Saccharomyces cerevisiae S288C: one gene and its partners. Changing the gene in region 3 together with the main gene of any one other region gives a genetic interaction. Each region holds a gene or a part of one and is shown on either strand. Other genes may lie near its edges.

What was found.
Region 1: mutations in PTH2 (region 3) and YGR122W together harm fitness more than expected from each alone (negative genetic interaction), as found in Saccharomyces cerevisiae (one large-scale study listed by BioGRID).
Region 2: mutations in PTH2 (region 3) and YOL029C together harm fitness more than expected from each alone (negative genetic interaction), as found in Saccharomyces cerevisiae (one large-scale study listed by BioGRID).
Region 4: mutations in PTH2 (region 3) and PDH1 together harm fitness more than expected from each alone (negative genetic interaction), as found in Saccharomyces cerevisiae (one large-scale study listed by BioGRID).

The regions. Positions count from the first base shown.
Region 1 is NC_001139.9:732,264-735,696, forward strand, and holds YGR122W (uncharacterized protein), read left to right. Parts: upstream 1-1,671; coding exon 1,672-2,880; downstream 2,881-3,433. Other genes in the region: ammonium permease MEP1, read right to left, coding at 1-664; YGR121W-A (uncharacterized protein), read left to right, coding at 1,149-1,364.
Region 2 is NC_001147.6:269,242-272,028, forward strand, and holds YOL029C (uncharacterized protein), read right to left. Parts: upstream 1,180-2,787; coding exon 574-1,179; downstream 1-573. Other genes in the region: GAS5 (1,3-beta-glucanosyltransferase), read left to right, coding at 1-400; YAP7 (Yap7p), read right to left, coding at 1,392-2,129; ribosome-binding protein MDM38, read right to left, coding at 2,762-2,787.
Region 3 is NC_001134.8:112,224-115,227, forward strand, and holds PTH2 (aminoacyl-tRNA hydrolase), read right to left. Parts: upstream 1,205-3,004; coding exon 578-1,204; downstream 1-577. Other genes in the region: protein phosphatase regulator SHP1, read left to right, coding at 1-485; type 2C protein phosphatase PTC3, read left to right, coding at 1,539-2,945. UniProt on the Saccharomyces cerevisiae protein: The natural substrate for this enzyme may be peptidyl-tRNAs which drop off the ribosome during protein synthesis.
Region 4 is NC_001148.4:556,782-560,450, reverse strand, and holds PDH1 (putative 2-methylcitrate dehydratase), read right to left. Parts: upstream 2,067-3,669; coding exon 516-2,066; downstream 1-515. Other genes in the region: citrate (Si)-synthase CIT3, read right to left, coding at 2,614-3,669. UniProt on the Saccharomyces cerevisiae protein: Catalyzes the stereospecific dehydration of (2S,3S)-2-methylcitrate (2-MC) to yield the cis isomer of 2-methyl-aconitate.

The DNA of each region.
Region 1 (3,433 bases), on a different chromosome or scaffold from region 3:
ACAGTATGGATGTGCCTAGAGTGACCAATGAAACATTATGAGGCCTGAAATTTATCAGTAACTTTTCATTTCTTTTGCCCAAAAACCAAGAGTAAACAAACCCGGAAACAGCGCTTAATATTTCAATGTTGCCGCCGCCTGCCCAATCGAGGACTCCCCATTGGTATGCCCAACCACCTGGTGACCAAATCCAATACGTCACTGGACAATATCCAATGGTAGCTAGAATAAAGAGAAAAACCATGTGCGGTAGCAGCCTGCCTCTTTCGGCAGTGGCGCCAGCGATAATACTTAAGTTGACGCACGAAAACATCATTTGGAAGGTTGCATACGCGAGCTCAGGGTAGGCATCTTCATCGAATTTTTTTCCGTACACGTTTCTAAAGCCAAACGAATCTAGATTCCCAATGAATTTATTATTCGGAGCGGACTTTGAAAAAGCTAGAGAGTAACCCCAGAAATACCATTGCAGTATACCGACCAAAGTCGCCATTAATACAACCCAGATTAGTGCTAGTGCAGACTTCCTTCTTGCCAATCCGGAGTACAAGAATCCCAATCCGGGCACCATAAAAAATACTAGGGCGGCACCTAATATCATGAAGGCCACAGTGGGGCCATCGTAGGTTTCAGTCGTTAAAGGCCCTGTAGTTCGACTCTCCATAGTTTCTACAGTATAAGAATCCGTACTGCAGTTATGTTTACTAAAATAATTCTCTGATCATAAGCCTAAACAAGTTACAAGAGCGCCTATATAAATAAACTACCTTTTAAGTATCTTATTCTGGAACTGCATTATCGACTGGTAAGCAGAAGGTGCTATAGAAGCCTACACCACTTTTCCGATTTTTTTTTTTTTTTTTTTTCAGGAAAAACATCTTCCATCAATACTTTGTCATTTCTTTCTTCTTCTCTTCTGTGCTTACATAGCCATAAGATGTCACACAAGGGTGTCTGTAGCAATTGTGAATCTTATCGTTATCGCAATCTCTGAGATGTCTCATCCAATAAGAGGGGCGCGTGTCCGCAGAGATAAGCAACCAGGGCCTTTTCTTTTGCACTCAGCCTGACAAAGGGAGGGGAGGCGCAAAACAAAGTTCGTGGCAAAGGACAACCGTAGAAGAGCATCGCCATGTTGATTTTGAAGAATGTCAAGACACAAGTACAAGTTATGGATGTGCATCGCAAAGGGAAAAAGGGGAGTGGGGGAAAGAAATACGTTTGTCCCTAAGTGCTCTTATGCTCCCTTTTGTGCTTCAGAGGTTCTTGATCAATTATTAAGAGGGGATAACTCTATCGTATATAACTTTTATCTTAAAAATGGTTCAGGTAGTGTTTATATAGGCTCAGTCTTTCTTATCTGAAAAAAAACAGTACGGGATTTTTTGTGCGCTCGAATAGTGCCGAACTCAATTACGGGCTGTGGTAACACTTGAGATCTTGTCTTCCCTTACAAATAGCTCTAGGGGTGTTGCATGTAGCCGCAGTAACATCTTGAAGAAGTGTACACTTTTGAGGGGACGCCATTGTGTTACGTTCTATGTATTGAATAGTATAGTTTTCAATTTTCCTGCGCTGACGTAAACCGGCTGTAAGAAAAAACGTATAATCGAGAACTGGTTATTCAAAGGTTGAACTTTAAAGTGAAAAGTAGCTCTAACAAAATAAATCATGCGTGAGAATGCAATGTCTACAAAGAAACTTCCCTATAAATTATCTGGCAGCAGCAAAATAACAACTTCCATACCTAATGATTTAATCATACTGCGAAATAATTGCATAAATTCACTGAACAGTTCCTCGTCCAAAGCTGACAGCATTACATGTATAGATACGTGGCTAAAATACACAGAGGGTTTGTTAACCCACAGGTACGAAGCTAATAATGACGCCGCTCTCATTGAAGAGGAGATAGCGATTGCGTTAATCAATGTTGCCGTATTTTATCAAGACATCGGTATTGAAACATTGTACAGAGCTTATGAATCTTCACAAGCGTCAAATAACTTATGGACAACAAGCGGGACCTATCTAAAGAGAGGTCTAGGCTTAATCTGCTTTCTTGGAAAGAATTTTCAAATAAACACAGCTAATGATTGCCAAAAGATGCAGGTTCTCAACGTCCTTAATCAGCTATCATTAGAGTTTCAATTGCTGCAACAACTAGGGATTGTCGTTTTAGCACTGTCTAAACTAAGATCAAAAATCAGCAAGGATGCTGTTGCGGACCTTGAGCCTCAAGAATTGGAAGAGCTAGGCAAGTCCAGTGTCTTTTACGCTAAGCTTTGTATTGGATCTTATAGCACTGCTTCGCAATGCCAAGGAGGCCGTATAGTGGACGCATTATTTATGAATTATTTACAGAGTTTGACCTATCTCTTCCTATCAATCAACCAATACAACAATGATGAGTGCGGAATTGCCATTGGGATGCTCCAAGAATCGATCAAAAAACTGTTAAATATAGTACCCAATTCGCAACTAAAAGAGTTGGACATTTTATCCTCAACCGATATTACAAAGAAGAGGGATCTTATAAAGATGTCGTTTAAAAGGAAAATACATGGGTCTACTTTAAAAAACCAACGGATATTTGAGAAGAAGGTGCCATTTTCATCCAAAGCGTACATGATGCCGTTATTGAAATCTTCATTAGACGATTTTGTTATCCCACTAACGATACTGTTAAGGTACAGATACCAGACAACCAATGAGAATTATTCCTTCAAAACGGTTGAAACCGACGTTTCTAAATTGAAGGAGCTTTTCCCCAGGGGAAAATCGTCAGATATTGAAGGCACTGTATGGAGTTTCCAAGATGGACATCTTACATTTGCAGACTCAAATAATGCAACCCACAATTGCGGTAATTATTTTTGAATTGAATCAAACGCCGTTCGAACGTAGAGGTCAATAGTCTATATGAATAATATTTTTAAGGTCTACTCTACTATGAATTTTGCATAAAAATATACACATGTTAGAATAAGGAAACCACTATCTACTAATCACGGCTAACCACTGCAAACAATGGCATTATTTACTAATATAATTATGTGTGTTGGAGTGAGAATCAATTATAGTCTACCGATCTGGTGCTCTTGTCAGCAGTATATTATTTTTGAGAAGAACTTTCCTTTTTTTTTTATGTATACGTAATGATCAGAATTTTTTAATAAAGATGTACTTCAAAAGCTTTTTTTAATATTCATAGTAGAATTTAGTGAATAATTTGATAATTGTTGGGCTTCCATTGTTGGTAAAGGCTATTATATTAGTTTTGGAATAAAAATTCAACTATCGTCTATCAACTAGTAGTCATACTACCAGTATATTATCATATACGGTGTTAGATGGTGACATAGGTTATGAGAAGCTGTCATCGAAGTTAGAGGAAGCTGAAGTGCAAGGATTGATAATGTAATAGGATAAT
Region 2 (2,787 bases), on a different chromosome or scaffold from region 3:
AAAGGGTGTCTGGGAAGCTAATAACACTTTGCCTGCTATGCCAAGTGCTGCTTCTGCTTACTTCACATCTGGAGCAGGTTCTCCTATGGGAACCGGAATCGCCACCCAACAAAGTTGTGATGCTAAGGACGATGACGACGAAGAAGACGACGACACCTCCTCTTCATCCTCTTCTTCCTCTTCATCTTCATCTTCCGCTTCTTCATCTTCTGAATCATCATCCTCGACTTCAAAGGCATCTTCCTCCTCCCCTTCTGCTAGCGAAACGAGCTTGCTAAAATCTGCCGCATCTGCTACTTCGTCCAGCCAATCGTCCTCGAAATCAAAGGGTGCTGCCGGAATTATTGAGATTCCTTTGATATTCCGTGCTTTGGCAGAACTTTATAACTTGGTTTTATGAGTTTTCACCCCCGTTCTTTACCACATTGTTTCTAATTATTCCGTTAGCGCCGCTTACTTTTAATGTTCTTAAGATAAAAAAACATCATTAATATTATTATTAAAAAATTCATATATATACCTATATCTATATGCACTATTTATGCTTCCACTTTTCTTTTCTTTCTAAATACATCATTCCAAGACGTTTTTGTCCATCTTATGTAATGCATCCTTGATGCTTTGCAATTCTACTTTCTGTCCACGAACGTGCAATCCAGATGCAATGTTCTCTAACGCTGATGAGATCGAAGTTGAATCCTCAGGATTTAGTTGTTCTTGGATACTTTTATTTTTTTGCATATGTTGACGGATTTTTTGATATGTGTAACTGATCGGCAGATACCTCTTTGCATCGGAAGCCGCATTCATTTGTGCATTCTTGCAGGAACATATTTCGGGTAGCTTGATTGAATTGTAATTTACGTCAGTTTGTTGTTCATTTAGATCCGGTGACAACGCACTGTTGGAAGAGAAAGAGCTTGAACTACATTTATTCGAAAGTGATTGACAAAAATTCCTACTATGGGGGTCTGATCTACATTGCTTGCAGCTTCCAGGTATCCATGACCCATCCTCTTTAGTGATCGGTCTATTCTCGCTATCGTAGATTTCTTTGTCTCCACAGCATTTCGATATTGATTTCTTAGCATCGGATTCTATTTTCTTTTCTGAACAGCAAACGGGGACTAAGGATGGCATTATGTTATTCTTTTGGTTGCAACATGTTACTGGTTTCATGGCATCTTTATTCCTACAACATTTTATTTTTTTGTTGCCACTGCCTGCACATGCATTGATACTGCTGCTGCATGAAGACAGAGGTGAATTAATATGGCCATCAAGCGATGAATTCGTTGAACTAAACTGTCTGCCGCTCAGATATTGATAATCGTTGGCTATATCAATCTCAGACAAAGACTGGTCTGTTAATACCGCGGGCACATGAGATGTTAACAATGGGCCTTCAGCTTTCCTTTTTTTAAACTGACAGCGCCGATTGGTTTAAAGTTTTCTACCATTTCTAATATCGAAATAGGATTGTCTGGCGGGTTTTCTGGCTGCTGTTGAAATGGAGTATTAACAATCAAAGGCAAGGCTTTTTGCAATTCGTTGTTTAATGCTATTGATTTTTGCAAGTTTTCCTTTGTATCGGAAAACTCAGATTCCAGCAGTTTATATTTCCTTTGCCAATCATCGACCAAATTGTGTAGCATCTCAACCTTCTCTTCCAGAACCTGGATTCTTGTTGTTCTGCGTTCCCTATATGCTCTTTGCGCATCTCTATTTTGCCTCCTTCGCTTTTCCACGCTATCGACACCGTTTTCATCACCACTTCCGTTGCCTTCATCATCAGATTTCCCCTCATGACCTTTTGCGCCTTCGTTCTCATGATCTTTTGTGGTCATTTGGTCTTTCTGGTTGGAAGTTTGAACCTTCTTTATCTTGGACGATCCATCATTATTAGCTGATGCATCCCCGCGCTTGGATTTCGGTTTGCGGCCCGGTTTTAGGCGCTGTGGTAACTCCCAATTCTTGGATAACTTAATAGCTGACGGTCCTGATGTACTCACATTTCCATCTGGTGAGGATGGAGGTGGAGACGTCGTAGACATGGAACCCTGTTTATGCCCCAATTTGAAGCCTTTGGGCTTTACGCTAACTGCTACTACAGACCTTCGTTGTCTCATGATCCATTGAAAGTGTGCGTAAATGACAAAATTTTGTGCCTTTCTATATTCTTTAATTGATGATTTACTTCCTTGATAACGGCTCAACAAACGAAGAGCAATTTTCAAATTTCAAAAGAAAAAACCGTTGAAACTGTTCTTGAGCAACTTTCAAGCCTCTTATGATGATGTGCTACAGATTGAAGTACAGGTGAAAAGAGGAATAACCAATAGCCTTGTTTGCTTTCTACGGTGGGGCAGCGGATTTTCTCTTTTATGCTTATGCTTCTTCTTCCATATATTACTAATTTTTCTCGAGCGAGCAGCTTTACTGCGTGCATTACCGATGAAAAAAATCGCCGATATATGAAAATCCAGCTCATAAGATGCTGATTAAGGAGTCATGAGTGAAAGGACCCTCGTGGCCATCACAAAAAAGACACTTTGCTCCTGTATAAAAAAAAAAATAAGGCGGTAGTTTAGATAGGGTGTCTATTATATACATGCATAATAATTTAGTTTTGAAGGGTCGCTGGTTTTGCCGTGACGTACGCTTCTCTTTGATCTTTTGCCATTGTTGTCAGAGAAAAGAGAACCGATTGACTTTTTTTTTTTAGTTTTTTTTAGTTTTTTTCTTAGGCTTTGATCTAATATCAATCTTTCTTAATGACAAAAGTCT
Region 3 (3,004 bases):
TGAGCGAGTTAAATCAAGGGAGGGCTCCATTAAAGCTCTTAGATGTGCAATTTGGACAAGAAGTTGAAGTTAATGTATATAAAAAATTAGATGAGTCTTATAAAGCTCCGACGAGAAAACTGGGCGGTTTTTCAGGCCAGGGCCAAAGACTAGGATCTCCTATCCCGGGTGAATCGTCACCTGCGGAGGTTCCAAAGAATGAGACACCCGCTGCTCAGGAACAACCCATGCCGGACAATGAGCCAAAACAAGGCGACACCTCCATCCAAATTAGATACGCAAATGGCAAAAGAGAAGTTTTGCACTGCAATTCCACAGATACAGTAAAGTTTTTGTATGAGCATGTGACATCAAATGCGAACACTGACCCATCGAGGAATTTCACCTTGAATTATGCCTTTCCTATCAAACCAATAAGCAACGATGAGACAACATTGAAGGACGCTGATCTGCTGAACTCCGTTGTCGTGCAAAGATGGGCATGAGCATAAATATACAAAAACAGAAACGGGAAAAGACTTCAACTTAATATATAAATGCACGTATATCTATACCCGTAGTATATATCATTTGTACCTCAATACAATTTCAAATCACCTGTTATTTGATCCAATACTGCTTTTGGAGCAGGTCCTAAACCCAATACGGTGGCACTTCCCGCAGCAATCTGTGTTCTACCAGCATCATGAATAACTGCTGCATTCACCCCAAGTGATATAGCCTTCGCATACAACTCGTCCATTGTAAACTTATCTGGACATTTCAACGTTATTTTAGCCTGTCCAGCATTTAGCCATCTTTGTGTCATAATTGGGTTGTATGAAGCACGCGCGGGGTTTGTAGCAATATGTCTAAAACATGACAATGCTGCGTGACAGCATTGTGCCGCTATTTTGCCCTTTGTCATGCCAAGATCTTGACGAATCACCAATGCCATCCTAACTTCTCCAGGTATATCATTCAATGAAGTGGACTCAATATCTTCGTCCTCATCGCTCTCATCTTCGCTTTCACTTTCCTCCTCATCAGTGTCATTGTGTAGCTTTCCTTCCTTCATTTCTTTAGAACGCAGTAAAGTAGCTGAGGATTTCTTAGTTGATGATGCGTTCGACGTACCCAACTGGTAACCCACGGCAAAGGAGATTGCGGTGAAAGTAGCCCATAAAGCTATGGTGTAATTCGAAGAAACTGTCATCTTTTCCATTAAAAAGACGTTATCATGTTACTCCGCTGTCAACAAGTAATATAGCAAGAAACAATTAGCTCTTATGCTTAAGAGCTTCTAGAAGAGTAGTAATAACCTTTAAACATTATTTTCGTCAGGCGTGATATCAGCGAGTTGAAGAAAAAACAACATGGGTTGTCCCTCAAGAGAATAAACTCAAAGGAGTAAAAGGTGTTTAGAGCTTGTTGGCTCGATTGTTGCCACCGGAAGGCCCCTTTCTGTTTTTAGACTATATTCATTTTACTTTTTGAAGTTTCTATTATAGGCAGACGAAGAAGGCCAAGAAGACAAATCGAAGAAAGAGAGAGATAACATGGGTCAAATATTGTCCAATCCAATTATCGACAAAGAGCATCATTCTGGTACGGACTGTTTGACAGCGTTTGGACTATGTGCCATGCAAGGCTGGCGTATGTCCATGGAAGATGCCCATATTGTTGAGCCGAACCTTTTGGCTGAGTCTGACGAGGAACATCTCGCATTTTATGGTATATTTGACGGTCATGGTGGTTCTTCTGTAGCGGAGTTTTGTGGCTCTAAAATGATATCTATACTGAAAAAACAGGAGAGCTTCAAGAGCGGTATGTTAGAGCAGTGCTTAATAGATACCTTTTTAGCTACAGATGTTGAGTTGTTGAAAGATGAAAAATTAAAAGATGACCATAGTGGTTGTACAGCAACTGTGATATTGGTATCTCAATTGAAAAAGCTACTAATTTGCGCCAATTCCGGTGATAGTAGAACAGTTCTATCTACTGGTGGTAATAGTAAAGCAATGTCATTTGATCATAAGCCCACATTGTTAAGTGAAAAATCTCGTATTGTAGCTGCTGATGGTTTTGTTGAGATGGACCGTGTTAATGGAAATTTAGCGTTATCAAGAGCCATAGGTGATTTTGAATTCAAATCTAACACAAAATTGGGACCTCATGAGCAAGTCGTTACATGTGTTCCTGATATCATTTGTCACAATTTGAATTATGATGAGGATGAATTTGTTATTTTAGCATGTGATGGTATTTGGGATTGTTTAACTTCTCAAGAGTGTGTTGACTTGGTTCACTACGGTATAAGTCAAGGTAATATGACGTTGAGCGACATTTCATCTAGAATCGTAGATGTTTGTTGTTCACCCACAACTGAAGGCTCAGGAATTGGCTGTGATAATATGAGTATTTCCATTGTTGCTTTACTAAAGGAAAATGAATCTGAGTCACAATGGTTTGAGCGTATGAGATCAAAAAATTACAATATCCAAACGTCTTTTGTCCAAAGAAGGAAAAGTATTTTTGATTTCCATGATTTTTCGGATGATGATAACGAAGTGTTCGCAATAACCACCAAAAAATTACAAGACCGCTTGAATCGTAGTAAAGATAATGACGACATGGAAATTGATGATCTTGATACCGAATTAGGCAGCAGTGCTACTCCCTCAAAGTTATCAGGTGAGGATAGAACTGGCCCTATTGACTTGTTTTCGTTGGAGGCTCTATTAGAAGCCGGGATTCAAATAAGGCAGAGGCCCAGCTCCGACAGTGACGGCAACACTTCTTATTTCCATGGTGCTTCTTTATCAGATATGTTGGCATCTTTAAGCAATGCGGCTGCAGGAGAAACAGAACCTAATGATGCTGATGATAACGATGATAACGACGGCGAAGAAAACGGCAAGAATGAAAATGCGAAGAAGGGTTCCAAGATTGAAGAAATTGAATAATAAATATTGTCGAACCGTACTTTGCAACGAAAGAGTAGTCAAACTTTGTTATCTTTATT
Region 4 (3,669 bases), on a different chromosome or scaffold from region 3:
GGATGATATTTTAGAATTTTTATTCCAACACTTACAATAATACTAGCCCAAAGATGATAACTGACTCTGATTCCAACACTGTGGATTGAGTTGATAACACCCATTTATCAACTAATCCTGTATTGAGTTTTTAGCTAAGGTGGTTAGAGCATAGAAATTGAGCGGATTTAGCTCAGTTGGGAGAGCGCCAGACTGAAGAAAAAACTTCGGTCAAGTTATCTGGAGGTCCTGTGTTCGATCCACAGAATTCGCATTTCTATTTTTGTATTTTTCCATGAATTGACGAACTCTTGCAAGTTGAAGAAAGAAAAATAAATAGAGCCAATTATTTAATTTTTTAATAGTTATTATTATGTAGATAAATACCAGTAAAATTAAGCCAGCATAATTAGAAAACCGCATGTTCTTTGGTTTAATTATGTTTTGAAAGTGATTTCTTGTTTATCGAAACGGCGCCTTTTGTCTTTAAAAATTGAAGTAGGTACCATGCCGTTCGCTCTTAAAGAGCCAACCATTCATCCCTCAGTAAACAAATCCATGTATTTGTCGATTTGCATATTCAAAAAGTTTGTTTTTGAACTTACCTTCATTATAAGGTCGACTTTATCAGGGCTCTCTACAAAATGTTCGCGCAGATGCCTTTGAAATTTATTCATTAGTAATGGTATTCCTTCCTCTCGTCTAAATTTGTGACCAACAGGGTACTCTACAAAAATTTCATCCAACTGCGTCCCATCGTTCAGCTCTATGAGAAGAGCGTTTCCTATCGACCTTTTATCAGGATCGTGATAGTTTTGAGTGAGATGAGTATCTTCGATACAGTACATTTTCGATCTCAAGTTATCGATCTCAGGATTTCTTGCGACCTCATCCGAATAATCAGTAGCTGTGAGATTACCAGTAATCAGCGGAACCGCGATCATGTACTGGATACAATGATCCCTATCGGCATAATTATACAGAGGACCGGATTTATCTATAATCCTCATTGCCGCCTCTTGAGTTCTAATTCTGATCGATTTAATATCTTTAAAAGTTTTCCCTTGTTTGGCAAGAATCCTATATGCTTTTACAGCAGCTTCTACAGCAGTTTGCGCATGGAATTCGGCAGGAAATGATATCTTGAACAGAACGTTTTCCATGACGTAGGAATCATATTTTGATCTTTGTTGGAATGAAAAAGGTTTACCCTTAAATAAAACGTCATAAAATCCCCAGGTTCTAGCTGTTAATACTGAAGGTATCGTGCCAACATTAGCATTTTTGACTAAATAAGCCAAGTTTACAGCCCTCGAAACTGCATCTCCCGCCGCCCACGACTTTCTAGATCCAGTATTTGGGGCATGACGGTAAGTACGCAGTGATTGACCGTCTACAAATGCTTGTGACAATGCTTCAATAGTTTGTTCCTGGCTCAGGCCCAGCATCTTCGAGACAACACCAGCCGTTGCTACTTTCACGAGTACCACATGATCTAAACCTACTTTATTGAAAGAATTTTCGAGCGCTATAATACCTTGGATTTCATGCGCTTTAATCATTGCCTCTAATACGTCTTTAACAAGAAACTGTTTTCCATTCTTTCCGTGGGTAGCCTTGTTTAATCTGGACAAGTGATCCGCGACAGCTAAAATTCCCCCAAGGTTATCTGATGGGTGCCCCCACTCGGCAGCTAACCAGCAGTCATTGTAATCTAACCAACGTATTAGAGTACCAATGGCAAAAGCTCCCTTCACTGGATCCATAACGTAAGATGTGCCCAATATTTTTGTTCCACTGGGAACTATTGTTCCTGGCACAATTGGTTTAATAATATTTTGAGCCTGCTTAAATTTCAAAGCCGCCAAGCCACAGCCTAGAGTATCAAGGAAACAGAGTCGTGCTGTATCTAGAGCCAAAGATGATTTTAATGGGGTTTCATGGACATATTTCGCGATGTCCTTCAAAACCTTATCTGGATTTGGTCTTTCATTAGTTTGTATAGACGCTGTACTCAGCGCAGCAAATTTCTTTTTAGGCAAGCATACCTTGATTTTATTATTTTTTAGATTTTTGGCTAAAAACATTCTGTTTGCTCTCGATCATCAGAGAACAGTAGAAAATACCAAAATACTATTTGAGAAAGTCCTAATAAGTTATACATACATTATGGCAGATTTATATACCTTATACACTTTCTTTGGTCATGCTTTCACATTAGTGAAGGTAAACATATGAGGGTAAAAGTTGAATGACTAGAATGTGGAGAAATAAGGTCATCTCAATAAAGTTTGTAAACGGCCCGAGGTCCGACATCGGGGAAGTGGCTACCTATAGACAGCATCATATATCAGAGAGATTGGGGACGAAAAGCGCGATGTGGTAAAAAAATAAGTCAAAACTCCAGAAATAATACAATCAGAGAAAAAAAAAAAAAATAAGAATATATTTTACTAACGAGATTGGAATTGCTGAATAATTTTTTGATAGGTGTGTTAACCGACCATATTTTCCCCTATATGTTTTCATGATGAATATGTATAAATTAGCTATGATTAGACATGCTGTATGGAATTTTATTTATATTTCAATATTGTAATAGCAAACGAAGCATTCTTGTAAATTGGAACTGCGTTACAACTTGTTAACATTGCTTGCTTTGGTAAGTGCTTCCAGACCCTCCAAGTTCAAACTCTTGGGCCTTTCAATTGGTAAACCTAGAATGCGATCCCAAACAAGTTGTGTCAAGGGTCCCATGGCCCTTGAACACCCAAAAATGACGGTAAAGAATAATAATTCCCTGATTCCATAATGATAAAACAAAATCCCCGATGCAGAGTCAACATTGGGAAATGGATTCTTACTCTTTCCGTGTTCCAACAAAACCTTAGGCGCTATTTCTGCCAATTTTTGCATCAACAAAACGTTCTTGTCGTTCTCAAATTCAATAGGCCTCTTTTGCGCAAATTCAAGCATTGCTGTAAATCGAGGATCCGGTTTACGCAAAACTGCGTGCCCATAACCGGGGATCACACGGTTTGAATTCAAAATTTTCCAAAGATAATCTTTGATTTCTTGTTCTCGTGCAATGCTGGAAATATTAGAGTTCATCTCTATGAGAAACCTTACTACTTCTTGTGCTGCTAACCCATGCAAAGGACCCGCTAATCCCATTATTCCAGATGAATAGCTGAGATACGGGTCACTCAACGCACTTCCAACCAAGTGGGTGGTGTGAGCAGAAACATTACCACCTTCATGGTCTACATGTATACCGGTATATAACCGCATCAAGTTTATGAAGTCCAGGGATTGCTGGGAAGTAAGGTTGCATGTATTAGAAGAGTTCGTTCCATTTGTCATGCCGAGCAGGGAACATATGTTTGTACACCAATCCACCTCCTCACTATATTGACCTAATGGGTGTCCCTCATTTGTAATGTTCGAATAAATTCTCCCAGTCAGCAGCGGGAGTGAAGCAATTAAATTTAGCGAATCTTCAAGAGTATCTTTCCAAAATTCCATCTTTCCTATGAGGCCCTTTTGGTAGTTTGTAGCAAAGAGGGATCCTTTGTTCATTGATGCTAAACCAATTGCAAGTTGGGTCATAGGGTGCATATCTTTGGGTAAACTTGACAAAACTTTCTCTGTATAATGTGGCAATTTCCTTCCACGAATAGCCAATTCTTT